Coturnix japonica: one gene and its partners. The protein of the gene in region 5 binds, or shares a complex with, the protein of the main gene of each other region. Links are inferred from orthologs where the notes say so. Each region holds a gene or a part of one and is shown on either strand. Other genes may lie near its edges. The genes, in order: NUP160, NUP188, NUP107, NUP214, NUP205, NUP93 and NUP85.

Region 1 (3,500 bases), on a different chromosome or scaffold from region 5:
GGGCTCGCTGATCCCAGCCAGTCACGTAAACTTGGATTAAGTGTGCTGACCTCAGAGAGCTAACAACAGCTTTGAGCGTGCATGCAGTGACCCAAATAGAGGTGAAGATGCAGCAAGTGCCCTGCAAGTACCAGGCAGGCACAGAGAAAGTCTAGTGGCCAAAGTGCTGCCCTGGAATAGGTGCCAAAGCTCTCCCAGCAATCTTAGCACAGCTCTGCTTCTCAGTGCAAAGAACAGCTGGTGCTCTCTCAGCTACTGAGTCTTCGTCATGTCTTCTAGCTCCCTCCTGATCAATGATGCTGACATTTTTCAGTTTTTATGTTATCTTGATGAAGCAGGCACAGGGCCGTGGTGAGTTCTATTGCCCTGTGCTATGGCTTTGAGTTATGGTGTGTGCCATAGGGAACGTCCTTCTCTCTCTGCACACCAAGGGGATGTTGAGGTTGGGAAATGATCCTGCCAGGGGTGGTGATGAAAGCTCCACTTTTTCCTCTCCTGTAGGAATACATTCGCCTGTTGCAGCCATGGTGCCATGTGAACATGGGCTCCTGCTGCTTCATGATGGGCAGGTGCTACCTCGTCATGGGTGAGGGCCATAAGGTAAGGCACCGTGGTTGTATTTGCTGTTGGGGCCTTGTTCCCTGTGTAGCTCAGGGAACATTGATCTGTCTCTGGGCAGGGAGCAGGACTGGGGGGCACAGTGGGACCTGCTGTCAGGGCAGTTCTTGTTGCAGCTTGGGGCCAGCAGGACCTGTAGGATGAAGCTGAAATGGGCTGCGGTGTCCTCTGCAGTACAGCAGGCTGGGGCAGTCCCCAAAGGCACAAGCTCAGCTGCTCTTTGCTGTGCTTCCAGGCTTTGGACTGCTTCTGCCAAGCTGCTTCCGAGGTGGGAAAAGAGGAGTTCTTGGACAGGCTGATCCAGCCTGAGGAGGGCGAGATGGTCTCCACCCCACGCCTGCAGTACTACAGCAAGGTACGGCTCAGTCCGTCCAGCACATGTGGTCCCCACCAGTGCTGGTGCCTCCGGAAAGGGAACTTTGCTATCAAGCAGAGTGTTTGCTCGGGGATAGCATCATTCACCTCTGTGTTGCAAGGGCTTCCTGGAGCCGTTGAGTGTTCAGGGAACTCACACTTGTGCAGAGGTTGTTCGTCCAGTAGGGCCTGGACCTGTTCTGCTGGATTTGGTTCACACCTCTGCAACTTAACGCTTCTCTTTTTTGGCTCTAGCCGCTCAGATACGGTGGCCAAGTATCTTGATTACTCATATGGCTGGAGTTGTCACTTACAGGTTCTGCGCTTGTTGGACATGGTTGGCTTACCAGAGCTGGTCATCCAGCTGGCTTCTCTGGCCATCATGGAATCAGCAGATGACTGGAGAACCCAGGTACAGTTTCCTTCTGCACAGAGATGCTTCTTCAGGGAGCTACCATAGGAACTGTTTCTTGGTTGCATAACTTGCAATGTGCTCTTTTGTGCTGTGTGGTGTTTTCAGGCTACCTTGAGGACTTGCATCTTCAAACACCACTTGGATTTAGGGCACAACAGTGACGCATACGTCGCCTTAACACAAAACCCAGATCCAAGCAGGTAGGTGACAGCTTTGTGCTCTTAGATGCTCTCTTGTCTTGGAGCTCCTGCCTTCTCCAGGTTTTGTACTGAAGCAGAAGGAAGCTGGCACCGTAGGGTAGGATATGACTGCTGCATTAAGAGGTTCTGTGTGAAAATACCTTTAAAGAGGCATACTAAGAGCAGTTATAATTGGCAATACGTCCAAAGTGGAAACTGAAAGAAAACATAGGGCCTTATTCAGGGAAAAACCAGAAACAAAATGGCTGGAGAATTGCATGCAGCGTTACATTTGGGAGGGCTCTAGCAGTCTGATTAACCTGGTTTACTACAGGAAAGAGACTTGGGATGGAATTTTGTCTTGCGTACCTTCTTAAAGTGAGGTGTGTAGAGGAAGCTTTGCAGCAGCCAGGAAGAGTGCAGTGGGCAGGAGGGGCTAAAAGCTGGAGTTGGGGCTGGGAGTTGGTATGGAGGCCACATAAAGCTTCACCAAACAGAGCTGGGGGTGGGGGGCTGCCCTCCTGAGCAACACAGGCATTGCGGAGACATGTTCTGCTAATCTTTGTTGGCAACACAGGAGAAACCTGAAGGGACCTCTTGGTTTGAAGCCAGTAAAACCTTTGGCTCTGATTCCAAGGCAGCACGTTGGTGGCTCAAAGCCTGCATCCCTATGGTGGGTCAGCTCAGGGCTGTGCTTTCCCTCTGCAGGCAGCTGGACTGTCTGCGCCAACTAGTGGTTGTGCTCTGCGAGCGCTCCCAGCTCCAGGATCTGGTAGAGTTCCCCTACGTCAATCTCCATAATGAGGTAATTAATTAACCTGCGCTGGGAGGAGGATGGGGGGGTGGACACACACAACTCCTTCAAAGAGGATTTTTGACCTATTTGAGCCTCTTTTCATCGCAGGTTGTAGGAATCATAGAGTCCCACGCTCGAGCAGTGGACCTGATGACCCACAATTACTACGAGCTGCTCTACGCTTTCCACATCTACCGCCACAACTACCGCAAGGGTGAGGCATGGGACGGAGCGGCCCCGTCCTATTCATCTTGCTCCAACAGCAGCACAGCTGATGCATCCCCTCCTCTCCTCAGCTGGCACGGTGATGTTCGAGTACGGCATGCGCCTGGGCCGCGAGGTGCGGACGCTCCGAGGGCTGCAGAAGCAGGGCAACTGTTTCCTTGCAGCCATTAACTGCTTACGGCTGATCCGACCCGAGTACGCCTGGATAGTGCAGCCAGCGTCTGGAGCTGTGGTAGGGGATCTGTGGGCTTGTCAGCAGCCCTTGAGCTTTTGGCTGTAGGGATGGTCAGGGCTGTGCTGGGTGAGGTTGCTTCTGAAATCCTTCGCAATGCAGCTCAATGAGAAATGTGATATACAGAGTATTTGTAACCTCCTGCAAGGTCCACAGGGAGGAATGTAGCACCTCTTGTTAAAGATAAGTCAGATCTTGAGCAGACTAAACAGCTGGAATTCCAATCCAGGGGAGAATTACACAAACATGGTTTGTATTTCCGATCTCTTTGTAGAGGGGAGGTGGCTGTAGCCTGACCAGCCAATGCTGCGCTGTGTTTGATAGCCACAGATAAGGAAACGTAACCTGAACTGATAAGCAGTTGCATGGCTCCTCATTCAAATCAAGGCTTGAGGGGAAAGCTTAGGGCTGGAGTGCATTGTGCTGATTTGTCCTTCAGAAACCTGGGCATCAAACTCTTATTTTCTACTTCCTTACTGCAAGTATGAGCGGCCTGGAGCATCCCCGAAGAGAAGCCACGATGGAGAGTGCACTGCAGTCCCCAGTGAGTGCCTGCTACTGACTTCTCCCCATCTCCTGCATCCCCACAGCTTTTCCCCTTGCCTCCTGGGAGCTCATCTATGGTGGATGGGTTAATCTGGGGGTTGTAAGCACGTGCACTCAGTGTTAGCATCTCCTAGC
Region 2 (3,500 bases), on a different chromosome or scaffold from region 5:
CCTAAGTGACATCAAGGCTTGTGTATTTTGCTTTCAACTGAAGTGCTGATTGAAACAAGCATCATCCTGAAAGGCAAAAATATGCTATTTTTATTTATTCTGAAGAGAAATTCAACCTGAAATATTTGGAGAGAATCTTTAATGAATTCAGTTACCTTTTGTTCATTTCAGAACATCTCTCTTTTTTTTTTTCCAGGGTCTGGATGAAGAGCAGAGCGTGCAATTATTACAGTGTTATCTTCAGGAAGATTACAGAGGAACGAGGGACTCCCTGAAGGTCCTTAGCTCCCATTTATTTCCTGTTCACTATACACCTGTCCACAATACCAGTAATCTGTTGATGAACACGATCATATGCAACCCCACATTCTGAATTGGAAAAGACTGTAGTTTGTGTTCTCTGAACCTGCGGTGGCCAATTACCACTGTACAGACGTGGGACAGCAGAAGTTCAGGTCTAACTTTCTGGTCCTCTTCCTGCTTGAATCTGGAAGGATTTGGCTCATCTCTGTCTCAGGAGCAGAGGAAACCTACAGATGTATGAATGAGAGTGGGTGGAGATGAAGAACAAACATTCACAATTAAGTACTTAGGTTTTGTCATTTTGGAAACAGTCTTTCCAAAAGAAATGGAAAGAAATTTTTTCTTATTTCTTTCATTTGTGGAGTATTTGTTGTTTGTTTTTGATGGTATTTGTCAGTAGGTATTTCTGCGGTGGGTAATCATTTTGTTATGCTTTGCTTACAGACAGTTCTTCAGGATGAAAGGCAGAGTCAGGCTCTGATGTTGAAGGTTAGTCATTTCAGCTTATATTTTCTATTGAAAAGATCTGAGAACTGACACTTTGTATTCAGAAAGCCTCGGGGTGATGGCAGTTTTAGGATTAATGCTGGGGAGTTCAGCTGTCAGGCAAATGCTTCCACATATTCCAAAGTGTGTGGGTTTGTATGTTTCTGTCTGAAGGGACAGCTCTGGAAGGGAGGCTGATCGTCACACCTGGCAGTAGATTACTAAAGATTAAGAATAGAAGATTGTATCTTATTTTTGCCTTTCTTTTCCAAGTTTCATTGGATAGTATAATTACAGACATCCCAACAACTTGTTTTATTGAATTCTGTTAAGTAAATTAAATTCTTGTGGTTTTTTTTTTAATTATTTTTTATTATTTTTATTTTTTTAGATAATTTAAAACTGCTTAGTTGAAATTCCATCTGTAGCAGTGTTTGAGCTCTATGTATTCTGGTGCTGAAGGCACTGGAAGAGGAAAGTGAATTGGAGTTGAACGCAGTAACAAACTGATGCTGGTGCCGTTATGTATTCACAGCTTGCTGACTATTACTATGAAGAGAGGATCTGCATTCTGCGCTGTGTCCTCCATTTGCTCACTTATTTCCAGGATGAGAGGCACCCTTATACAGTGAGTACTGGAACCTTCTCCTGGATGTCATTGAAATAAGCTAAATATGTAAGCTGTGTAGTAATTATCCACCTGTGACTATAAAAACCACACAAGAATGTATATGGAAGTTCATTTATTTATTTGTTTGTTTATTTAAGGCACAGTACTTCCAGTGTATTGAGAAGCTGGACAAGGAACTTGTTCCTAATTACCGTAAACAGTTTGAAGAACTGTACAAAGCAGAAGCTCCTACATGGGAAACACACGGAAATCTCATGGTATTTTTTTTTCCATGCTCTTCTATATAACTTCCCAAGTATATCTGTCTAGCTTAGAAAGTCTTTCTTTATGCATGTTGAAATGTCTGCATGCAGATGTAGCCTATAAGATGGTTCTCTTGAAGAATCTAACTGCTATTTTCTCTTTAATCGAGCACACTTTTGCATAGAACCAAAGCAAGCTGTTTGAAACACATTGTTCCATGTAAGAAATCTGTTGATAACAGTCAGCTATAACAGATCAATTACTGTAGCTCTTCATAGTCTCTCTGCATCAGTACCCTTGCAGTGGCTTTTGTTATTAATGCAAACCACCAACTATGCAAGCATTGAAATAGCTCAGCCCCTCTTGGTTTCTGATTGATTTTTCTGATCTCTGAGCTTTGATGCATGATGGTGGGACTTCTCCTTGTGCAGACAGAGCGTCAGGTTTCCCGTTGGTTTGTGCAATGTCTCCGTGAGCAGTCCATGCTCCTGGAAGTCATCTTCCTCTACTATGCGTACTTTGAAATGGCACCTGATGAGCTTCTGGCATTTGCAAAGTTGTTCAAGGAGCAGGGATTTGGCACTAGACAAACCAACAGGCACTTGGTGGATGAGAGCATGGATCACCTGGTGGATCGTATTGGGTGAGTAACGTATATCTGTAGAGTGAGTACAGAACAGTGCAGTTGTTTTCCTCAGTAATAGAAAAAAAAGAAAAAAGTGCTTATATTTCTTCTCTCTCTTAAGTCGTCACTTTAAAATCACCACTCTGAAAATGAAGCTGAACTAATTATGATGAAGGCAGAATGTCTTTTCTGATTGCACTGGACATTGGTGGCAAAATGAAGAGGTGATTGCAAAGCAGAGGGGCATCCAGATGCCAGCTTTAATTGTCTGTAGTAAGAATAGCAATTAAGACACAGTGCCATTTAGTTTCACCTTGACTAGTTATAAAGTGAAACTGCATCTTCACAGTTCTGTAGTGTGAACTGAATTGCCTTAGTACAAGCTGTGGGTCTGCTTATACAAGTGGTGATAGTGTCTCAGTTTTGCTGTGTGGGACATAGCTTAGGCTGTGTCCTGAAGGAATGAAGGGTCTTTTTGTTTGTTCAGTGGTAGTTTTGAACATTTTAAACTGTTCTATGCTTAGCATTTCAAGACAAAATTTGGATTACCTGCTGCTAATTTATTTCTTTAAAGAGCAGCTGAACCAATGCAAACTGAATGTTATTCTTTGACTGTCATTCTTTTTACATTAGAAACCAACTGAACAAAAACATCAGCTGAATTCTGATACAAAATGTCTCACCTACTTGATTTTTTTTCCTCTTTCCTGCTTGCAGCTACTTTAGTGCTCTTATTCTGGTGGAAGGCATGGAAATTGACTCCCTCCATGAGCGAGCTTTGGATGATAGAACAGAGGAGCACAAGTTAGCCAATAATTCACATATCCACCAGGTAAAGTGCAGGCAGGGTAACTCCATGTTCAGCCTGACAGAGTAAGTAAAACTTACTCTGGTTATCGAAGCAGTGCTGTTAAAAGATTATGTATAAAAGGTTCTGACTCTTGTGTTTGCTGGCCAAATAGAAGAGCTAGCATCCATGAAACTTGATGGGACAAATAAGAAGGAAATTAATTCTTCTCCCACTTACATACTTGATTATCTTGGGCCTTTCTTTAAAGAAAGGTGTGTGCAAAGTGTTAGGCAATGTGAGCTTTAAAAGTCTTCTGTTTCATACCCTTCTCAGTGTCAGGGCTTTTAGGACAGAGAACTTCTGAGGTTAAAAGAGCACAAAGTCAGTAAAACAAGCACACAGACCAAGACTGCACATGCACA
Region 3 (3,500 bases), about 11 Mb from region 5:
CCTCTCATCTTCCAGCTCTTCCCACCTTAAAAGCCCTCTCCCCTTCTGCTTATCAATCTACCTGTCTATACTCCTCCAGCTTCTCAGCAGCCTTTTCACACTAGTTGTACTTGCTTCTATTTAAAACAAATATATCAAGATCTGATAATTTTAATCATTATATTAATCATCCAGCGACTTCCAACTTTGGCATTCACTAATATCCTCTCATCAGCGACCTCCTTACTGCTTCACCATTTCTGTACTGATTTTCCAACTTAATGCCTTGTCATTTTTAGATACTACAACAATTTATAGATACCAAAAACTGCCCCGTTCCACCCATTTTTAGAAAACAGCATATGTGTTCTGTGCAAAGCATTTTGAATGGCTTTTATGCCCAAAACCAAGTCTTATATTTAAATAACACTTACCAATTCTGTTACCAGAGGTCGAGAACTTCCAATGAATGTACTTAACTGTCGCTGCTTCAGGATATGTAGCGTATTCTCCCTGGGAGCAGTGAAATGTTTTTGAGAGAAAGAAGGGATTAATAGCAAACATTTTAATAAGACATTAAAATTAGAAAATATTTCTGGATAATTGGAATAGGGTTACAAGAAAGGAATGCTTGGTTTGGTTTGTGCATCAATGAACAGTGTTATCGTACAATTTCATTAGAAGTACAATACTGGAATCAATGCACGTGGCTTTGACTTCTTTCAAAACCACTTTCAATGTATATGAACTATTAATCCATTTCTGCATGAACAAGATTTCCCATTAGTGTTCAGCATTATCGGTCTTGGATAGAAATACAACTTAGGATGAACACACGATTCCAGAAGCCTGTGTTCACCTGTCTTTAAAACAATGCTTATAATAGGAACTAGAATCAAGAAGACTTTGCTCTCTACTGCCTTAAAATCCTTGGCTGGTAATAAAGATGACAATAATTACTTTTGGTGAAGGATAAATGGTAAAAAGTGATGACACGAACTTCAAAAGCCAGACAAAGAACTGAGCACAGAAGAGAAACACATGAGAACAGTTTTATCACCTGCTGATCAGCAGCTGACCATCTTTTTGATGTCTTTTTGATGAAAAATTAAACTGTCATCTATGTAAAACTAAATTAAATTGTTTTCACAACCTTCCTGTCACCTGCTCCTCCCAAAGGCAGTATCTGACTTTTGAGAAGACATAGCCAAACTGGGGAGTAGCTCACTTTTCATATCAATGAATTTAAGGAAAAATGAATGAATGGACCAACTTCTTAGGTGGTTCTAGACTGATTCTGTGTCTGGTTCTGTGAATATTACAATTGAGGAAGCATGGATACAATCAAAAGTCTGAACTCACCAATACACAGATTTTGCGTAAAACTCAATATTATCAGAGAAGTTCCCAATTTCATCCTTGGCGATGCTCTCTAGCCAATCTACCACCAGCTGGAATGAAATTCAATAGCTTTTTTTAGAACAAACACACAATAAATAATACTCCATCTTTCTCTCATCTCTGAATCTATTTGATATCTACACAGTAATCCAAGGCGTACATATCCTAAGAAAAAGCTCAACTTAAGTGCCCAGTTTGAAGCTTGTTTTGGCACTTGATATATTTCTCACTAGATGCTGCAGTTACTACTGCACTATTTAATAGCTCCTTAATTAGTAACAACAGTTGCAGATGATCCAAATTGGAACAGTTCTCAGCCTTCTATGCTCTCCAGCCCAGCCTGAAATATTTCTGATCTCTAGAAATCAAGGAGCAATATTGCTGCACAGGCCTAGATGAATATAAAGAAATAGTTACTTGACACAGCTTAATAAAATACACAGAGCTCATATTTTCTAAAGCTGATGTAACATTAGTTTCATAAATATTTAAGTGTTTACTCATCTATTTCCGTTCTCACCACAAAAATTCTCTTACCTGGCTTTGTCGAACAAGAGCATCTTTCTGAAACAAGTTGTCTACATTCATCTTTTCGCTTGCATTTAAAACCTATTGAGAAAAACTTCATCATCACTTGGTGGAAAAGAAAACTTACCATAGAAACATCAATCTGAACAGTTTTTAACTTCCAAAATTGACTTGGCATTCACCCCCTACCCTGTCCTTTTTCAGAAACAGATGATGCCACACATCTGTTTTATTTGGATGCTCTACTTTCTGTCACACTAAGATTGATAATACGATTCAAATGTGTGGTCACAGAAAGATTTTACACAGTAGATCCATCAACTCCATTGACTGCTCTCACATTACCACAAATCCAGTTTACTACTTTGTATGTTGAGAAGGCCAGACATTTTTACAGAGCTCATACGAGCACTAGACACGAACAAATGGAAAACAAAACTAAATACACACACCAGCCCAGAACCCTGGTCTTTCTTGTTGCTCTCCTGCATTAAGTTGGACTTCTTACAACAAAGGCTGAAGAATACAAGCGTTTATCTAAAAAAGACAGATAGGAAGAGACTCTTTTTGGCAGAGCAGAGTTTAATTTAAAAGCACTGACAACTCAGCAGTGGGAATCAAGGAGGAAGCTATTTCATGACTGAGAAAAAAGCAACTACAATCGTAAATTTCACAAAGGCTGAGTTGCTTTACTTCTTGTTTTGTCTTCCCAGGCACATTCTGGCAGCAAAGGCTGGAAGCACTGCATTGACACAGACAAGAAGACTACAGCTGAAACAAGAACACTCCAAAAACTTGATTTCTCTTGAGATAAACTGGAATCAGGATTGCAGAGCACCAGACAGCTTGAGACCACATGTTCTTCTAGGCAAAGCAGAATCATCTCTGCCCCAGGGAACATTATCACTACGGATACAACTTTTAAATATAAATCTATCGTTATTTCCAGTTGATTTTCCAAGGGCATGAGGAATACTCGGTGAAATAAAACAAAATACACTTGATACAAATGTTTAAGCCAGCATTCTCAATTTGGAATCAAATATATCATAAAAGGTGAATTTAACTATATATAGAATAATTTAGTATTTATCTTGATAGTTATTAAATCAATCTCATCTTTACTTTCTTTTATCTTTGAATTTTGAGTGGCTGCAATACTGAGCTTATTAAAAAAATATAACACAAGACTATAGCTTTAAAATGCATCCTTTAAAAACAGTAATACTATTTTTCTCCCTCAAACTTACTGTGATTTCAAAGGCAGTTTCATCTTCCAGTGCAGACTGTATTCTGTCTCTAGAAATAAAAGTGAAAAACCTTAACTACCAAAATAACGCTGAAACAATTCAGGAGAATGCAGAATAAAAGCAAAAGCACTAAGAATACCTTTCAAGTGTTTAAAAATACTACAAGTTAAGGAAGTAGCAACAGGGCTGTTAACAACTTTCAACTCCCATAAATAGATAGTGAATAGGCATCACGATCAGCAGTTAGGTCCATAAACAGATAAAGAAATAGGCACTTAGTTCCTTTACTCTGTACTTATTCTCTCGCATGCAATATGTCTAAGGTTATCTCAGTGTGAAGAG
Region 4 (3,500 bases), on a different chromosome or scaffold from region 5:
AATGCTTCAAATTCAATTTTGCATTAAAGTCTGACCTCAACTCCCTACTGAAGGTTGTCACTCAGGTAAAGGCTGCTGCAGTTTCCAGTTAATCGGCACCCTCCTGTGCTCTTCAGGAACACGACTGCACTACCTTTCACTCTGCCTGAAGGCATCTCTATCTTAATGTCTCTTGGTTGCAAGAGAGAGCTTTCAGAATTCACTGAGGTACAGCACAATAGCTCAGATGTATCTTCCACTCCAGCCTCTGACAATGAGATTTGAACAGCCTTCAGGCAGCACAGGAGGTACACCAGTAACGTAACCAGGTAGATGCAAAGCACAGCAGGGTTCAGTTAGTACAGGCCCTGTGCTATAAAGCAGAATTAAAACCTACACATTCACCTCAACGATCCTTGTTCTTCCTTGCTTTGTAACCAACCTTTTATTTCCCCTTTAGACCACTGCAAACATACTTAATAAAAAGTTCTGCAAAATGACAGAAGCTACAAGCAGCATGAAAACCACACAGGCAGAGTGAAATCCCTAATAGAATATGGCTCTTTTAAACTCATAATTACCCCAGTTCTGTGAAACACAAACCTGAGGTGCCTTCCACTCTACGTCTGTTACTGCAGCATCCTCATCTGCAGCAAGCTTTCAGGAAGAACTGTACCTAATATCTGAATCCTTACAGAGATGTAGTTGTGCATGTGCTGCAGGCTTCCCATAGAAATGCAGGACTGATAATGTGTTAGTCCCACTTTCAGAATAATCCTAAAGCACTGGATTGCTTCTCAAGAATACCTCCTATATTGCTACCACTAGGCTATTTCACAAGACTAACACGACTTACTGATCGGGATAGGCATGTTATTAGTGTAGTCTACAGCAACACCAACTGGCAAAGTATCATCACTTTTATCTGTCACAGGAAGTTCTGCTCTGCTGGAGTCCTCCAAAATCCATGATTCCCAGTTCTGCAAAACAATAATAGATATTATTCTGACTACTGTTTTCCTGTGCTGAACCTTCTTTAATACATTTGTCTATTACGACTGAAGGACGAGACGGCAAGAAGTCTGGAGAGTATCCACCTGAACTAGTCAGATAAATAAACAACAGAAGTACCAGAGTCCCCCACAGAATTGGCTGTCGCTTCTTCCACAGCACTGCATGTCAGATTTGAAGTCAAACTCAAGAACAATTCTTCATATTCTACTTCAATTGACAACCTCATATGAGTCACTTTTTACTACAGTGAATTTAACCACATTTTTAGACTACCAAGTAAATAATGAAAAGCAGACTTGTGGAACTTGGTTCACAACATACAGTCATTCTGTTTATCCTTCCTGTAACTCAGATCTTGTGTTCTTCTAAGGCTTACATTTACCTTAATATTCTGCACAACCTGAATGTTTTGGATTTTATTTGCTTGGTTTTGGTGTTTATCTTTTTGCTTTGCTTTTTAAAAGCTTACCACACTGTCATGTTGCAGGTCTTACTAAAGATTTACTTGTTTAGGCTTTCAAGAAAAAGGAGGTATGCATACATAAATGAAGCAGGAAGAAAAGCATTACCTGATCTCCTTGCCTAGCAAGAATGCTGACTTCTGTGGAAGCGGCCGAAGCTGCCAGAATTAGATCCCTGTAAGGATGGACACCAGTAGGTTACGAGATGCATAACAATCCAGGCAAGGTCTCTAGCTCTGCAAATCATTATTACCTATCCAAATTCATAAATAACAAAAGAGTTACAACAGTATGAAGCAGACTATTCCTTCCCAGGATGAAGGAAACACATTTGGCTCTGTCTCTGTAGAATGGTTGCCTTTTTTTTTTTCCTCCTTTAAAATTAGTCATCAGTGTATGTTGTCATGAAAATAAAGGAGAAATTACACATACATTCATAAAACATTCTCAAAGTGGCAATTTCATTTGGCTCACATTCAGGTCTTATATAGCTTACAGAAGGGAGAGAAACAGACTATTCAGACATGCATGACAAGGGAAAAGCTTTATCATGATTCTCACAACCCACCATTCCTCAACATAGTTGAGGTAGTAATGATGTTGTCTTTCAGCACAGCTTCCATAACAAGGCTCCATGAAATTCACAAACTTCTCTGGTCGCTTCTCTTCCTTTTTCTGAAAGACCAGCATTAATTATTTACTGCCCAATGTAGAAATTAAGTAACATCCTGTAAATATGGCTTCATCAAGGTACAGTAAACTCAAAATCCAAATGATGGCAATATACACTGTGCCATTGTCACAAACAGAAAGAACAAGCAAGAAACTTCTCTGTAGCTGTGACTTGTTGGAAACTTACGGGCAATATTGCTACAACCACTTCAGGAGGTGTTTCCAGCGTCCCATCAGCAGCAGCATATACAATAGCAAAGACATAGGTGCCAATCCACAGCACATCCAAAACTGGAAGAGAAGGAAACAAATACCTCAGTCAGATACACACCAAAACACTTCCTTGTAGTGTGAGTTACAATGTACAATGGCATTGCTAGCAGATAAGGAATCACTAACTGCTAAACAACAAAGATGAAGAATCATTAATCTAGCATCAGTCATACTAGGAGGAATTATGTAACCAGGGTACTATGAATGTGATGTAACAAGCAGTAACAGTGGATGAATGAGTGAAAGTATTTTAAAGGAGGAAACAAGTTAAAAATAAACAAAAAGATGTACCTTTAACAGGATTGTCTGCCTGATAAAAGGGAGGATAAGGGATTACCTTCTTCTCTTGCAGATTCTGCAAATAAAAACACTCTTAAGTACTACGAAAAAAGCCCCCAAACAACTAAACTGTAAGTTTCAGAGGAACTCCAGAGAACTGTTTTATAGTGACTCACTCCCTCATTAACACTCATCACGTGCCATGGTTAACTCACTACATTTAAGTGGCAGATGCACACCTTAAACTAAACCCAGCACTGGTCTAAGACACTTTAATATTACTGAAGTGCTTGGGCATGGCTCACAACACACGCCACCCAACTCAAATTCTGTACACTGACATGCAAAAAATTGAAGCATATAGCAAACTAGTGAGTGTCTTAGTGACAACACTTACAGGCAGATACTGTACCACAGTGCCATTTTGCCTCCCTACAGCCAGTTGTTTTCCCTTCGGGCTCCAACACACTAAAGAAAAAAAGAGAACTCCATCAGCATTAAGGAAATGTAGAATTACGAGGTCCCTTAAAGCAGGGCCCATAAATTAAAACTGCATTGTTTTTCCTCTGCAAAACCCTATGGATACAAATACAATTCCTGTGAATATCATGGTCTTGTCTTCTAGGTCACAAACTGAAAAAAGAGCTGAAATTCTTAAACCTCGTACTAACTAAGCTGCAAACATGTTTCAGCTTCACTCCCGTGTGCCCCTGTGCAGCTTTATATTGCCCTATAGTGGAATATATCCAGTCACATTTCAAGCATACACTTCAGTTGACACGAGTATATCTGGACGAGTTAAAACTATAGACAGAGGCCTAA
Region 5 (3,500 bases):
CCATCTTTTTAAGTCTCAGAAAAAGACTGCAGGAGAAACAGACAGTTTTTAAGAGTCAAAAATTTAGTCGTATAGTCACAGTGTATATGTAACAGAGAACAACAGAAAACAGCATAGTTAACAATTTAAGGCTCTAGAAAATGTTCTTAACCCCCCTATGCAGATTGATAGCACTTTAAGATTTGAATTTACAGAGGTAAATAGGTCTCCTATCATCAGCTGTTCTATTTAATTTTTTTTTTCCCTCCCTGTGGTATTTCGGAAAACAATTCAAATTGTTTTGTATTTACAGTACGCAGGAAAATCTTAAGTATCTTGGATTCAATTGACTTCAGTCAGGACATTCCAGAGCCTTTGCAACTGGATTTTTTTGACCGTGTTCAGATTGAGCAAGTCATTGCTAACTGTGAACACAAGAATGCACGTGGGCAAGTGGTCTGCAACGTCAAGGTGTGCAATCTTTATTTTATTAATAATCTTTATTATTATTAATTTCTGTGACTGATCAGTTTAAGAGTTATGCTTTGAAAGGTCATATTACACAAAGAATGTAGCTGTATACAAACTGTTTGGAAATTAATTTATATTTTCTTCTGTATTGTGTACAAAGATTTCTCATTAACACCTGACAGATTTTTCAATTCAAGATGGAATATTTTCGGTTTAATGATCTTCTCAGCTCAGAATAGATAAATGAAATTGCAGAAATGACTTCTACATTTCATGTTTCATTGTTCTGCAGTACGCAGCTGTGTAGTACTGCATGTGTGCACGGTTCTGTACATAAAATACTCATGTACTGCAGTTGTTCTTAAAGGCTTCAGTTAAGATAGTGTCTTATGGGGATGAGTACTTGACATGTATATAATATGAGGGCTGCTGTGAAAGTAAGGCCTCCTATTTTATTATGTTGCCCCGCAGTGTCAGAGGTGGATGTTGGTGGAATGGTATTAGAGGCTAAACCTTCCCACCCACATTTCAATGTGTTTTGTTGCCATGCAACAGATGGCAGCAGAGGGGCAGACTGACAAAATTATGTTTGATATGGAAGCACAAACAAAGCAAAAGTATGTCACTAAATTCCTCCATGTGGAAAAAATTGCACCCATTGATGCTTGCTGAACAGTTACAGAGGTCAAACAGTGGATGTGAGTGCAGTGAGGTGGGTGGTGCGTTTCAGCTGTGGTAATTTGAAAGGAAAGCTGTATTCTGGATGGCCACACACAGCTGTCACAGCAATAAATAAAGAGCATCTCAATCAGCTCATCCACGCAAATTAGCTAATGGTGTTATCTACGTTGAAAAAGAATGTTTTGTCACTGAGAATTGGCTCTATCACAGTGTTATTGTGCTCTTTGTATCTGCTGTAGTCTCCATGGAAATAGGAGGCATTATTTTCAGAGTGACCTAGTAGGTAGACCTGAAAAATTTGTGATCTAAAAGACACTCAACAAAGCAGGAGTAGAACAGAATATCTAAGTGATCTTGATGGCAATGAGAAAACTGCTATTCCACATTATGTCATAGGCAATCTACTTTGTAAATGTGCTTTAGAGAGGTGATGAACATTTATACCTGTGCAAGAGGTCTGTAGTGACTGACAGGAATAGGGAGTATGATGTTCTGAAAGAACTGACAAAAAGACTGAACGATTTAGGAATGGAAGGAGATGAATAAGTGCAGAGATAAAAACTGTGATCAGCAAATAGAGACTGGACAGCTAAAAGTAGCTGGAGAATTAAATATGGGTGAAAACTAAAAAATGGGCGAGATTGATTTGAATTTCAGTCTCTCCAATTGCATTTCTTACTATGTAGCTACCTCCTAACTACTTTTAAATCTTTGCTATTATTAAAGTTTTTTATTTTTAATAATCCTTTCCCATTTCAGCATCTTCACAGAGTTCTGGTTGCAGAAGTCAATGCCCTGCAAGGAATGGCAGCAATAGGTCAGAGACCTTTACTTATGGAGGTAAGAAAATGAAACAGTAACTGCTGTTGTTTCTCTTGGTGAATTTCATAAACTATTAAACAGTAAGCTTTACCATGAAAACCTGTATATTTGAATCCTGAACTTTGAGTTAGTAATTCCTGAAGGGGAAAAAAAAAGAGAAACTAGTTCTTAATGTACTGTTCTCTGTTTGTCTTGACTGTCTTGTAGGAGGTACCAGTTTTATTTCTGCTTTCTTCTACACAGTTAGTTTCTTTGAACTTGGAGGATCTTAGTTATTTTTTGATGTTCCTACTATCTTTTAACTTTATGTGCAATTGGTGCAGTGGATTTGAAAATGGAAATATGAGAGATGACCAAAGCTCATATGAGAAGAAAATACATGGACAGCTTTTACCTCAGTTGTCTGTTTTCATTTCAAAGGTGTACATTAAAATTTCCTTCAATTTTCTAAAGCTTAAGACTTACCCATTTTTTTCCCCAAAGACTTACTGATAGATTAAAACTTGTAATCATGAAAGCTGTCTTTGTCGTTATCCTCTTTTAGCATATTGTAACTCAGTTTCTTTATCATGGTGGTCAGGAGATCAACACCATCCTGCAGTATGTAGTGGAACGGAATAAACTGCTGCAATGCCTTCATGCTAAGAAGCATGCTTTAGAGTCATGGAGGCAGCTGGTGGAAATTATACTGACTGCCTGCCCCCAGGATCTTATACAGGCTGAAGACAGACAATTGATTATCCGTGATCTATTACATGATGTTCACGACAAGGTAAAGCCTTATTGGAAAACAACTCTCTCCTTGAACTTTGTTGCTTATCAGTACTTCTTTTGAAGAGTGAAATCGTTGAATGAAGCTTCATAGTAGAAAGAGTAAGGATTCTTTAATTAGAAATAGCTGTGAGGGGCTAAAGTAAATACTTTTATAACTGTAGGGAAAGGCAATAGCAGATAACCAGTTCTAAATTATCCAAAAAAGGGTGATGGTCACAATCCAGTTAAAGAAAGAAAGATTTGCTTACCCATTCCAAGGATCAGAGCTCATCAAAGACTCCAAAAGGAGGAATTTCCAGATAGAGATCCTTTCCTTGTGGCAGTCAGCCCTGAAACAAGGCTTAGGGAAAGGTTTAACCCTGATTGCTTTCAGTGTTCTCCCAGGGATGTCCCTTGCCAGGTGTTCAATCATTGGTTGAGGCTGTGATTTAGCAATTCCCATACAGTAACTCATGAAATCAGACATTTATGGATATCTTTTTTTTCTTGTTTTCTTCTACTACTGCTTGTTTGTTTGTTTTCTTCTATGTTAAGATCCTAGATGATGATGCAGCTCAGGAGCTGATGCCGGTGGTGGCAGGGGCTGTGTTCACCCTCACTGCCCATCTGAGCCAGTCTGTGAAAACAGAGCAGAAACAGCCACTTGCAGTCCCAATGACTGGGCAGTCCCAATATATCTTGATGTTGGATGGTTCTTTTACCTCATCACCTGGCTCTGAGAGCATATCCATGGGTTTTGCTTCCATTGGCGACTCTTCACTCCACATCATCTT
Region 6 (3,994 bases), on a different chromosome or scaffold from region 5:
GAAAACCAGGAGCTGCTAGGGGACGTAGCAACCCCATGTGCACTGACCTATTGTTCAGGAGAGACAGCAGGGTCTGGATTTGTTTGAACAGACTAGCATGCCACTGAGATGGCTGGGAGGAGAGAGGGGCGTGGTGGAAAGCAGCAGTTCCATGCTCTGCAATGCAGTACAGAGCATCTTTCCAGTGTTTACTTGTGATACCTCAGTGTGCCCCAGCAGAAGCTGCCTGCACTGGCAGAGGCTGACCACAACAGCCACGCTCCTGTACCGTTAGAAAGCAGGAAGCAGTGAGTGCAGGAGCAGCACAGACTTCAGCTTGATTTGATTCAAATCAGTCTGCTTCCTCTTCTCATTAAGAACAAGATGAAAAGCCAAGAGTGTGAGAAGGCACTGACTTCTCAGAGCTCTAAAACCAAAAGCACAGAGAGTCAGGGGACTACAAATAGCTCCACAGACTGCAATTGTCAAGCACGGATCCCAAGTCAATTCCATATACAGGCTGTCCCACAAATCTGCCAAGGTAGGACAACCGTAATGACTCTGGAAAACAGAGACTGAATTCAGCAAATATAGAATAAACTTGTTAATTTGAAGCAACTCCAACTACCTTTGATTATAACCAAACACTGGGAATGAGAGCTCAAACCTTTCTCTAGAGCTCAAACAGCAGCGTGTTCCAAGGGACAGACTTCAAACATCCAGACCGGGTAACAGCATGAACTACTTAGTCTCCATGCTGTCAGAATTTACTGCATTCAGGAGGCTGCAGTCTGACTCCAAATGCCGCTGTGCAAGATGGAAAACTGCTGCCACAGGGACGAGCAAATGACAGCAGACTGTTGTGTCTGGCTGCAGAATGTGCAACAACTTACACCTAAGGGAGAGAAAATACACCAGAAATTAAACTAACTTCGGTGAAACTGGATCGACCCAGGGCTAGAAGCCAGGGCTGAAAAAGCCCTTCTGTAAAACGACTTTGATGACTTATCAATAGAAGCTGCTGCATTAGTCTGCTATTGCTTGTCCAATAAAAGCCCCATTTAATGTTTTCCCAACATTTAAAACCGCATGTAGATGTTACAAACTCTACAAGCTGGCTGGATTTCAGCCAAAATGAAATCAGAAATGATGACAGGTTTCTAATTCTGTTCAGACTGACCATAAATGCCGGCTGGTCGTGGAAAGCCAGGCCCTGCAGTGCTAGCAGATGAAGAGTGCTGTCCTACTCCAAATACGGCCATGCTGAACATTTCACCATATGAGCTTCATAAAGACTTCAAGCTGAAGAGCTCCCATGTGTAAGCAAGTGTCTGCTGTACTTCATACACTGACAGTCTTTGTGCCACCTAATTATAATTAATTTATTTAAAGAGACTGACTAAAAATTCAGAGGGAAGCCTCACCCACTGCAATCAGAAGAGCTGATAAAGAGTACAATCCAACCAGGGGCAAAAAGATTCTTCCCAAGACAAAACAAAGAGGAAGAAATCCAGCGTTACCCTCTCAGAGTGCTCCAGAGACCCATGTGACAAGTCAGCATCCGCTCCCTTTGGAAGGAAGAGAGTAAGTGACTGAGTATGAAAGCAAAGAGCAGGCGGCAAAATACATACATGTATATCTTGAATGAATGAAAAATGCCACTTCCGTGATATTAGACACTGATATTAAGCTCCTTTCTAAGAATGCAGGAACTGTCAATGAGCTTGTTAAACAGAGCACACGTAGGGCAGGAATGGTACAGACAACTGAGCCCCACCAGCAGCACACACAGGTCACCTGCTCCCGCTCCCAAGGTCTGTCCCTGACTCATTTTCAACTTCTATAAGGGAAAAGGACCGATTGCAAACCACACATCTATTACATGTTGTCCACAAATTGCCCTCTGCTACACGACTTTTAATCAAACCTAGCAAAGGGAGCCACACCACCTCCTGGTTTAAGCTAAAAGCACAAGCCACACTAAAACCAAACACGTAAGGGCTCCAAGCTGCATGTGGTGCTCCAGCTGGTACAGTGCCCTGGATGTAGGAAAGTCCTGAACAGAGCACACAGCAACGAACTCCTCAACTCAGTGTTCATTCCACCACCCACAAATTAAATCAGCTGCCATCCCTATATTTCCCAGTCCTGTATGCTTTGTTCTTCAGCTGCAGGCAGGTGTGTAAGTTACCAACCCTTTGATCGCGGCTCCCAAGCTCTGGTCTCATAGAGCTTTTACAGCACAAACTGAATAAAACCAGCTGTTTCTGAGGTCTTACTGCACTGCCGTGCCGCCTGCCCTGCTCACTCCCCTCACGCTCCTTATGTTGTAGCTCGGATCCTCTCCCCACAATCTTTCCTTTGCTATCAGCACCGCAGGAACAAGCAGGAACCACACGAGCTGATGTAGCCATTCCCAGTCAGTCCATCCTTTCGGTCCCCTCATGTCGGCCCCACCCGCCATCACCCCGTGCATCTCCCCCCGCCTCCAGCCCTCACACAGCCCGGCCCGGACCCCCGGCAGCGGCCCGCACAGCTGGCAGACATTGCCTCGGCCCGAGGGCACCCGCTCACAGGAGGCCCCGCGCCTCAGCGCCCGCCCAGGGCAGGGAGCGCCGAGCTCAGGAGCCGGGGAGCAGAACGATGTGAGGACGGAGGACGGAGGCCGCCCGCACCGCGATCCCCGCCGCGCCCACCGCCCCTCACTCACCTGCCCGCCGCTCCGGCCGCCGCGCCTGCACGCCCGCGCCGCGCGCCACCATTGGCCACGCTCTCCCCCTTCCCCGCCAGCCCATTGGTCGAGCCGGCGCGCTTCCTGACGCTACGCATTTCCATTGGTTGTCGAGCTGAGTCCCGCCCCTCCAGCTCGTCTCGCGACAAGAAGTGATTGAGGCGCTGGGAGGCGGCGCGGGCTGTGCGTGGTTATGGGGGCGGTGAGCCGGGAGACGCGGGTTCGAGGCTGCCCGCCGCCTCTTCCAATGAGGAACGGCCCGACGGCCGCGCGGGGCCGGGGGTCAGAGATGAAAACACTATAAACGAAAAGCGGAACGCCTGCAGACTGCCATCAGTACGGCTGTTCGCTGCCCTGAACCCCCACAGCCATCTGTTCCCCATTCCCCACTTGTGTCCATTGTGCCATGTAGGATGTGAGGCTCACTCACTCACATAAAGAAAAACTTGATTTCAATTAAAAAACCCACCCTGCAGGGACCCCGGGCCGCACACCCCCCTCAGCCCAGCTCCCCTCAGCAGACATTGCCCTCACACCTTCCCACAGCGCTCATGTTTGAAGGCACGGCCCCCAGAGCTCGTCCTGGGGGCTGCTCCAACCCGGGGCACGGCTGGGAAGGAGCCCAGGCCCTGATTTACAAGGCAAATACACACTGAGCGGGGCAGCCCCTTTCCCATCTCCAGCACCACCCCAGCGAGGGGCCCGGGGACTCAGGGCCACCCACCCCACACGGCTCCCAGCCCCATTGGAGGGCACGAGCTGTCCCCACCCGCAGAGCATGGGACGAGGCAGCATGGCCAGGAGCAGAGCACACAGCACACAGACATGTGTGGGCAGGCTGTGCCCTGCAGCACAGGTAGGGCCAACTTTCGCTTGGCAGGTGTATTCGGAAGGAAAAGAGCAGCCAGGCGCCTTCCCACGCCCCCACCCCCCTCCTTGTCTGCCCCCCCAGGGCAGGAGCCGGCCGGGCTGTGCTCACACCTGCCCCATGTGGCACCCTGAGCCCCCCACTCACCAGGGGCTGTGAAACAGAGCACCCCAACTGCACGACACCACTCTGTCCCCTCAAACCACAGCCCACAGGGGGTTGGCGCAGCCCCCAGCACCAGTGCTCCCACACACGTGTCACAAGCAGCATCAGGGCTCAGCCAAACTCATTTATTTCCTCCATCAGCACAGAAGGTACAAAACATGTAAAAATAAGCTTTGTTTTGTGTTTGTGGCCCCCATCACCCCCCACCCTGTCCCCAAAGCATGGCAGCTATTTACAGGCGAGGCGGGCTG
Region 7 (4,001 bases), on a different chromosome or scaffold from region 5:
TGCGGGATTTGCAGTGGCTTCCTTGGAGAGCAAGTGCCGTGCTTCATCCATTCGGCCTTGCAGTACGAAGATATCCACCTGCAGAAAGCACGTCTGTGAGTACCAAGCTGTGCAGGGCTACCACGCACCCAGGTGGAATATCAGGAGAATCTTCAAGAAAGCCAAGTAGAGTTACAAGATTTCAACTCTAGGCCCTGCTAATTTGAATATACAACCTCTGTGAATCATGAAATTGGATGGTGGTTGAGTCACTGTCCCTGGATGTGTTTAAAAGCCATTTGGATGTGGTGCTCGGGGACATGATTTAGCGGAGGGCTGTTGGGTAGGTAGGGTAGCATGGTTAGGCTGTAGTTGGACTTGATGACCCTTCGGGTCTTTTCCAACCTGAGTGATTCTATGACCTTGACAATGCTTTATCTTAAAACTACAAAGACAGAAGCAGCATCTCAGGTATCAGTTTCTGAGATGTGCTACAGTGCTGAGAAGAGGAATGCGAGACACACAGGCACGACTTCATCTAAACGTCTGACAGGGGGCTGTACTCACCACGTTCCAGAAGAGTTTGTGTTTTGATGGATTTTCGCTGCTCAGAACTTCACGGACCATGTTGTCTACATCACAGATGTGAAGCTGAACCCAGTCAAGGAGACGAAGCAGGAGAGGACCAGCTTTACACAGAGAAGGTATCACTGTTAGTTCCCAAACTGTTTGTCCCCAGGCAGTTAATTTAAGAAGGTTCTTATGCTTTAAGGTCAAATAAACTGGGAACAAGTTTTTGTTTATTATGCTTCTGTGAGAAATAAATAAATAAGCCAGTGTAAAGTAGAATGCATCCTGATATAATTTAATACAAAAAAATGCAATTTACTGAGGCAGAAAAGGTATCAGAATTCGGTGCTGCTTGTCATACACTCCACAGTAAGCATTAAGATGTAGCACCACGCACGCTGTCTACATTTTAAACGATTATTACGCAAACAAGACCACTTTCAGGCTTAACATCAGAACTGTTCACTGCTCACCTGGCGCTGCTTCAACAAACAGAATCTCACACAGATTCCAGATCAGCTCCATGGCAGAGAGAATAGAAACCTGACAAAAAGCAGAGCTGCGTTTCAGGGTCATAATTGTTCCTGTTATTTAATTTTAAGTGCACAGCTGAATGTGCTGCCCACAGAGATGGGTTTTTGTAGACAAGAGAAATGTCACATTGATATTCCAGAGATAATCAAAAGACAGAAACAGGCCATAACTTCTCTATACACATCCATTTTAGAAAATATCGGTGGTTTGTGTATTGAAATGCAACAGTAATCGCTCCTCAGGGAAATGCAGAACAGTGCAGAAAGTGTTAATTGAAGCCTTTTTAATCTCCTGAGAGTTAGAGAGCACAGAAGGAACTAAAGGCAAACTAAGCAACATCAGTGCTGTTCAAACAACAAACTACAGCCACGGTGTTGGTCTTTGTGGCTTTACTAACCAATATTCATGCAACTACGTGGATGTGACTGTACGTTACCTGAATGCTGTACTGGTTGTGCAGGGCAGAGTCCCGGGCTGAAACTGAGCGAAAAATACACCAAGTCAAAAAGCAGCATAAAAAGCAGCATATTTACAGGTACAACAAAACTTTCTGAGCTCATTCATACAGTCCTTGATCGCTCGCTGGGTACAGCCCCAGATGTGTGCACAGCTGATACAGCTCAGCTCACCCTGCAGAACTCTTTATAAATCTGGTATATTTACAGGACAAGGATGTTAAGACACAGTGAGTCCTCTCACTGTTTCAGAGGAGCAAGCTGGTGAATTTGACTCATTTTTCCACAAAACCACAAGTCATGACATGAAAATACTGCAAGTCTTCCCAAAATCAGTTACGAGATGATGAACCAACATGGAAATCTCAATGATGGAAGATGGAATCCTGTTAATTACTGAAGTTTATATGGGCTGTTTTTCAGTAGCTATAGCAACTTCCAAGAGAAATCTTATTTTTATCATCACAAGTAGCATCTTTTTACTGCAGTGCAACAGACTTACTGGCAGCCTGGTGCATGTCCTCCATGCAGGCTCTTATGACCGAGCGGTAGTTTTTACTCACTTGGACTAATCTGCCAAACACAAAAAGGATCGTTTACAGAGAGATACTGCTTCGGTTACGGTCCCTTTTCTGTGCATCCGTGGATGCTTCCAGAACCAGGGTCAGCCTGGTGGGTGCTGCCCGTGCTGTGCAGGGTCCCACGCACTGTTCAGCACCCAAAAGGAGGCTGTTCCGGCCCCACTCACTGCGCGTTCCTCGCCCTGGCAGCCCGCTCCTCCTCGCAGCGCTGCAGCCCCACGAAGATGCCGTGGGACTCGTTGAAAAGCTTCCGCAGCGTCTCCATGTAGATGTCCTGATCCCTGCGCACCACGAACACGCGCGACGGACCCGCCGCTCCGTCCCCGCCGCCCGCAGCGCCGCATCCCGCCGGCCCCGGCCCCGCGCTGCCGCCCCGGCCGAACAGCGTCTCGCACAGCAGCATCTCGGCGGGGCCCCACTCGAAGCACAGCTGAGCTCGGGCCGGGTCGGCGCCCGGCACCACCTGCGGGAAGGGAGAGGAGAGCGGGGGGCGAAGGTAAGGAAAGGGAAGGGAAAGGAAGGGACGGGGACGGGCGGTCCGGCCCTGACCGTCAGCGGCGGCTCCGTCTCGGGCTCCTCCATGGCCACGCCGCGCTCCCGCCCGCGCTGAGGCCCCTGGCGGCTGCCCGCCCCGCTGCCCAACGCCCCGCGGAGCTCCGCAGCGTTACCCGCAGCCGGCAGCCAGCGAGGCTCCCTGCGGGCTGCTCCGCTTCGGGCCCTCGGGACCGACGGGGCTCCGACACTTCGGGGCAGGCGCGGCCGGTCGCCCCGGAAACAGCGCCGGCATTGAAGGCCCCGGCGGGGCGGGACGGGGGAGGACGCGAGGAGGGGAGGGGAGGAGAGGACGGGCCGCTGTAATGGCAGAGCGGGGCGGGGGGGACGCGGCAGGAGCGGAGCGGAGCTGTGTCGTGTCCACCTGTCTGTCCCGCCGTGTCCCGCTGTCCCGCCGTGTCCCGCTGTCCCGCCGCGGTCGCTCTGTAACGGGCAGTAAAAAGGCAGGTGCTGCTCAGCCTGAACCAGCGCTGCTGAGAGGCCCGAGCCCTGGGCAGTGTCTGTTGGTCTCACTGCTCTTATTTTCCTTTTCGTCGTTGTGTTGAAGGATGTTTTGATGTCTGAGGTGAGGGTGTAGGAATGGGACAGTGTCCTCCTGCCTCAGGATCCCATCCAGTGCAAAGACTGAAAAACTACAAGCTGATGTAAAGCTGCAGCTCCTTTCCTGCTTTGTGCTGACGGACACAGCCCCTCTGCTCACTGACTAAAAACGCCAGTAGCTTTTCATGGCTGCAGCTCCTGCTGCCCTTGAGAAAGTGACTTTTGCCGAGGGAAATGACCTTGGCAGAGGTGAAGTTTAGTTTGCAGTGTCTTAGTCCTTCTTGGAAGGTTGGCTGGAGGTCTGCGTGTATCTAGGAGAGAGATGAGCCTGCACTCTGGCTCAGAAAGGCTCTTGTGCCTGACCAGTCTGTAACTGAATCGAATTACAACCAGAATGGCAGCGTGGAAGTACACAGTGTTCAAAAAGACTTGAGAGCTACAGCTCTGGGTTCAGCCAAAAGAACACGACTGTTTTCTGGGGATGGGAGAAAGCAGCAAAACTTTGAGGTCTAATGAGGAAGGGAATAAAGGGTTACAAAATAGAAGGTTGGAAAGTAATTTCATAGCTTGGGAGAAGGCAAGGAGGATAAGCATCGTGAAAGGGGAAGCATGAGACAGGCAATCACCTCGGCAATGCTTTTCTGCTCCTGGTGCTACACTAGTATTAATGAAGAGCAAAATCCGAATAAGCCACTCGCCCCTTCAGGGTTCAGGCTGAGAAGGTGCTGTAGGCTGACTGCCTTAGCAATAGGAATCCCATATATTAGTTTAAGGGCCAGTGTACAAGTTT

Evidence for each region.
Region 1: NUP205 (region 5) and NUP160 share a complex: the UniProt entries of both Homo sapiens proteins name them as parts of the nuclear pore complex. The link is inferred for Coturnix japonica from reciprocal best matches to the Homo sapiens genes NUP205 and NUP160.
Region 2: NUP205 (region 5) and NUP188 share a complex: the UniProt entries of both Homo sapiens proteins name them as parts of the nuclear pore complex. The link is inferred for Coturnix japonica from reciprocal best matches to the Homo sapiens genes NUP205 and NUP188.
Region 3: the proteins of NUP205 (region 5) and NUP107 are in contact, whole or in part, in a cryo-EM structure (PDB 7WB4), measured with the Xenopus laevis proteins. The link is inferred for Coturnix japonica from reciprocal best matches to the Homo sapiens genes NUP205 and NUP107. Residues at the interface, in XP_041443600.1 of Xenopus laevis: Gly1247, Gln1248, Arg1249, Pro1250, Ser1458, Arg1506, Gln1507, Leu1983, His1991, Gln1995; in NP_001091312.1 of Xenopus laevis: Gln134, Glu136, Pro189, Tyr282, Tyr283, Gln770, Ser772, Phe773, Thr774.
Region 4: NUP205 (region 5) and NUP214 share a complex: the UniProt entries of both Homo sapiens proteins name them as parts of the nuclear pore complex. The link is inferred for Coturnix japonica from reciprocal best matches to the Homo sapiens genes NUP205 and NUP214.
Region 6: NUP205 (region 5) and NUP93 share a complex: the UniProt entries of both Homo sapiens proteins name them as parts of the nuclear pore complex. The link is inferred for Coturnix japonica from reciprocal best matches to the Homo sapiens genes NUP205 and NUP93.
Region 7: the proteins of NUP205 (region 5) and NUP85 are in contact, whole or in part, in a cryo-EM structure (PDB 7TDZ), measured with the Xenopus laevis proteins. The link is inferred for Coturnix japonica from reciprocal best matches to the Homo sapiens genes NUP205 and NUP85. Residues at the interface, in XP_041443600.1 of Xenopus laevis: Glu1477, Cys1480, Arg1481, Cys1484, Asp1485, Ser1517, Gly1518, Tyr1519, Leu1520, Lys1521, Val1522, Val1524, Asp1525, Ser1574, Gly1575, Gln1582, Gln1638, Gly1641, Gln1642, Gln1645, Val1648, Leu1690, Asp1691, Ile1692, Gly1693, Leu1694, Asn1695, Asp1696, Gly1697, Ser1698; in XP_041431608.1 of Xenopus laevis: Ala86, Glu87, Glu88, Ala89, Ser90, Gly91, Lys92, Ser93, Arg94, Lys95, Pro156, Pro239, Met240, Gly245, Thr246, Gln247, Thr248, Leu249, Thr250, Glu251, Phe252, Glu253, Leu254, Lys255, Trp256, Gln257, His258, Trp259, Pro315.

What each region holds. Positions count from the first base shown.
Region 1 is NC_029520.1:538,830-542,329, forward strand, and holds part of NUP160 (nuclear pore complex protein Nup160), read left to right. Parts: intron 1-501; coding exon 502-600; intron 601-853; coding exon 854-973; intron 974-1,288; coding exon 1,289-1,384; intron 1,385-1,492; coding exon 1,493-1,587; intron 1,588-2,274; coding exon 2,275-2,371; intron 2,372-2,470; coding exon 2,471-2,576; intron 2,577-2,658; coding exon 2,659-2,819; intron 2,820-3,302; coding exon 3,303-3,363; intron 3,364-3,500. UniProt on the Homo sapiens protein: Functions as a component of the nuclear pore complex (NPC). Involved in poly(A)+ RNA transport.
Region 2 is NC_029532.1:4,036,956-4,040,455, forward strand, and holds part of NUP188 (nucleoporin NUP188 homolog), read left to right. Parts: intron 1-196; coding exon 197-277; intron 278-747; coding exon 748-792; intron 793-1,324; coding exon 1,325-1,417; intron 1,418-1,557; coding exon 1,558-1,677; intron 1,678-2,094; coding exon 2,095-2,306; intron 2,307-3,005; coding exon 3,006-3,120; intron 3,121-3,500. UniProt on the Homo sapiens protein: Component of the nuclear pore complex (NPC), a complex required for the trafficking across the nuclear envelope. Required for proper protein transport into the nucleus.
Region 3 is NC_029516.1:31,995,756-31,999,255, reverse strand, and holds part of NUP107 (nuclear pore complex protein Nup107), read right to left. Parts: intron 3,208-3,500; coding exon 3,159-3,207; intron 1,990-3,158; coding exon 1,918-1,989; intron 1,431-1,917; coding exon 1,342-1,430; intron 493-1,341; coding exon 414-492; intron 1-413. UniProt on the Homo sapiens protein: Plays a role in the nuclear pore complex (NPC) assembly and/or maintenance. Required for the assembly of peripheral proteins into the NPC. May anchor NUP62 to the NPC. Involved in nephrogenesis.
Region 4 is NC_029532.1:4,680,661-4,684,160, reverse strand, and holds part of NUP214 (nuclear pore complex protein Nup214), read right to left. Parts: intron 3,147-3,500; coding exon 3,076-3,146; intron 2,755-3,075; coding exon 2,691-2,754; intron 2,418-2,690; coding exon 2,314-2,417; intron 2,130-2,313; coding exon 2,023-2,129; intron 1,630-2,022; coding exon 1,563-1,629; intron 960-1,562; coding exon 836-959; intron 1-835. UniProt on the Homo sapiens protein: Part of the nuclear pore complex. Has a critical role in nucleocytoplasmic transport.
Region 5 is NC_029516.1:43,443,467-43,446,966, reverse strand, and holds part of NUP205 (nuclear pore complex protein Nup205), read left to right. Parts: intron 1-292; coding exon 293-450; intron 451-1,890; coding exon 1,891-1,971; intron 1,972-2,533; coding exon 2,534-2,725; intron 2,726-3,261; coding exon 3,262-3,500. UniProt on the Homo sapiens protein: Plays a role in the nuclear pore complex (NPC) assembly and/or maintenance. May anchor NUP62 and other nucleoporins, but not NUP153 and TPR, to the NPC.
Region 6 is NC_029526.1:559,046-563,039, reverse strand, and holds the start of NUP93 (nuclear pore complex protein Nup93), read right to left. Parts: upstream 2,801-3,994; 5' UTR 2,690-2,800; intron 2,410-2,689; exon of another isoform or gene 1,500-2,409; intron 1,489-1,499; exon of another isoform or gene 1,404-1,488; intron 875-1,403; exon of another isoform or gene 608-874; intron 1-607. UniProt on the Homo sapiens protein: Plays a role in the nuclear pore complex (NPC) assembly and/or maintenance. May anchor nucleoporins, but not NUP153 and TPR, to the NPC. During renal development, regulates podocyte migration and proliferation through SMAD4 signaling.
Region 7 is NC_029533.1:9,354,953-9,358,953, reverse strand, and holds the start of NUP85 (nuclear pore complex protein Nup85), read right to left. Parts: upstream 2,801-4,001; 5' UTR 2,702-2,800; coding exon 2,669-2,701; intron 2,583-2,668; coding exon 2,287-2,582; intron 2,112-2,286; coding exon 2,041-2,111; intron 1,564-2,040; coding exon 1,520-1,563; intron 1,093-1,519; coding exon 1,023-1,092; intron 829-1,022; exon of another isoform or gene 669-828; coding exon 547-668; exon of another isoform or gene 79-546; coding exon 1-78. UniProt on the Homo sapiens protein: Essential component of the nuclear pore complex (NPC) that seems to be required for NPC assembly and maintenance. As part of the NPC Nup107-160 subcomplex plays a role in RNA export and in tethering NUP96/Nup98 and NUP153 to the nucleus.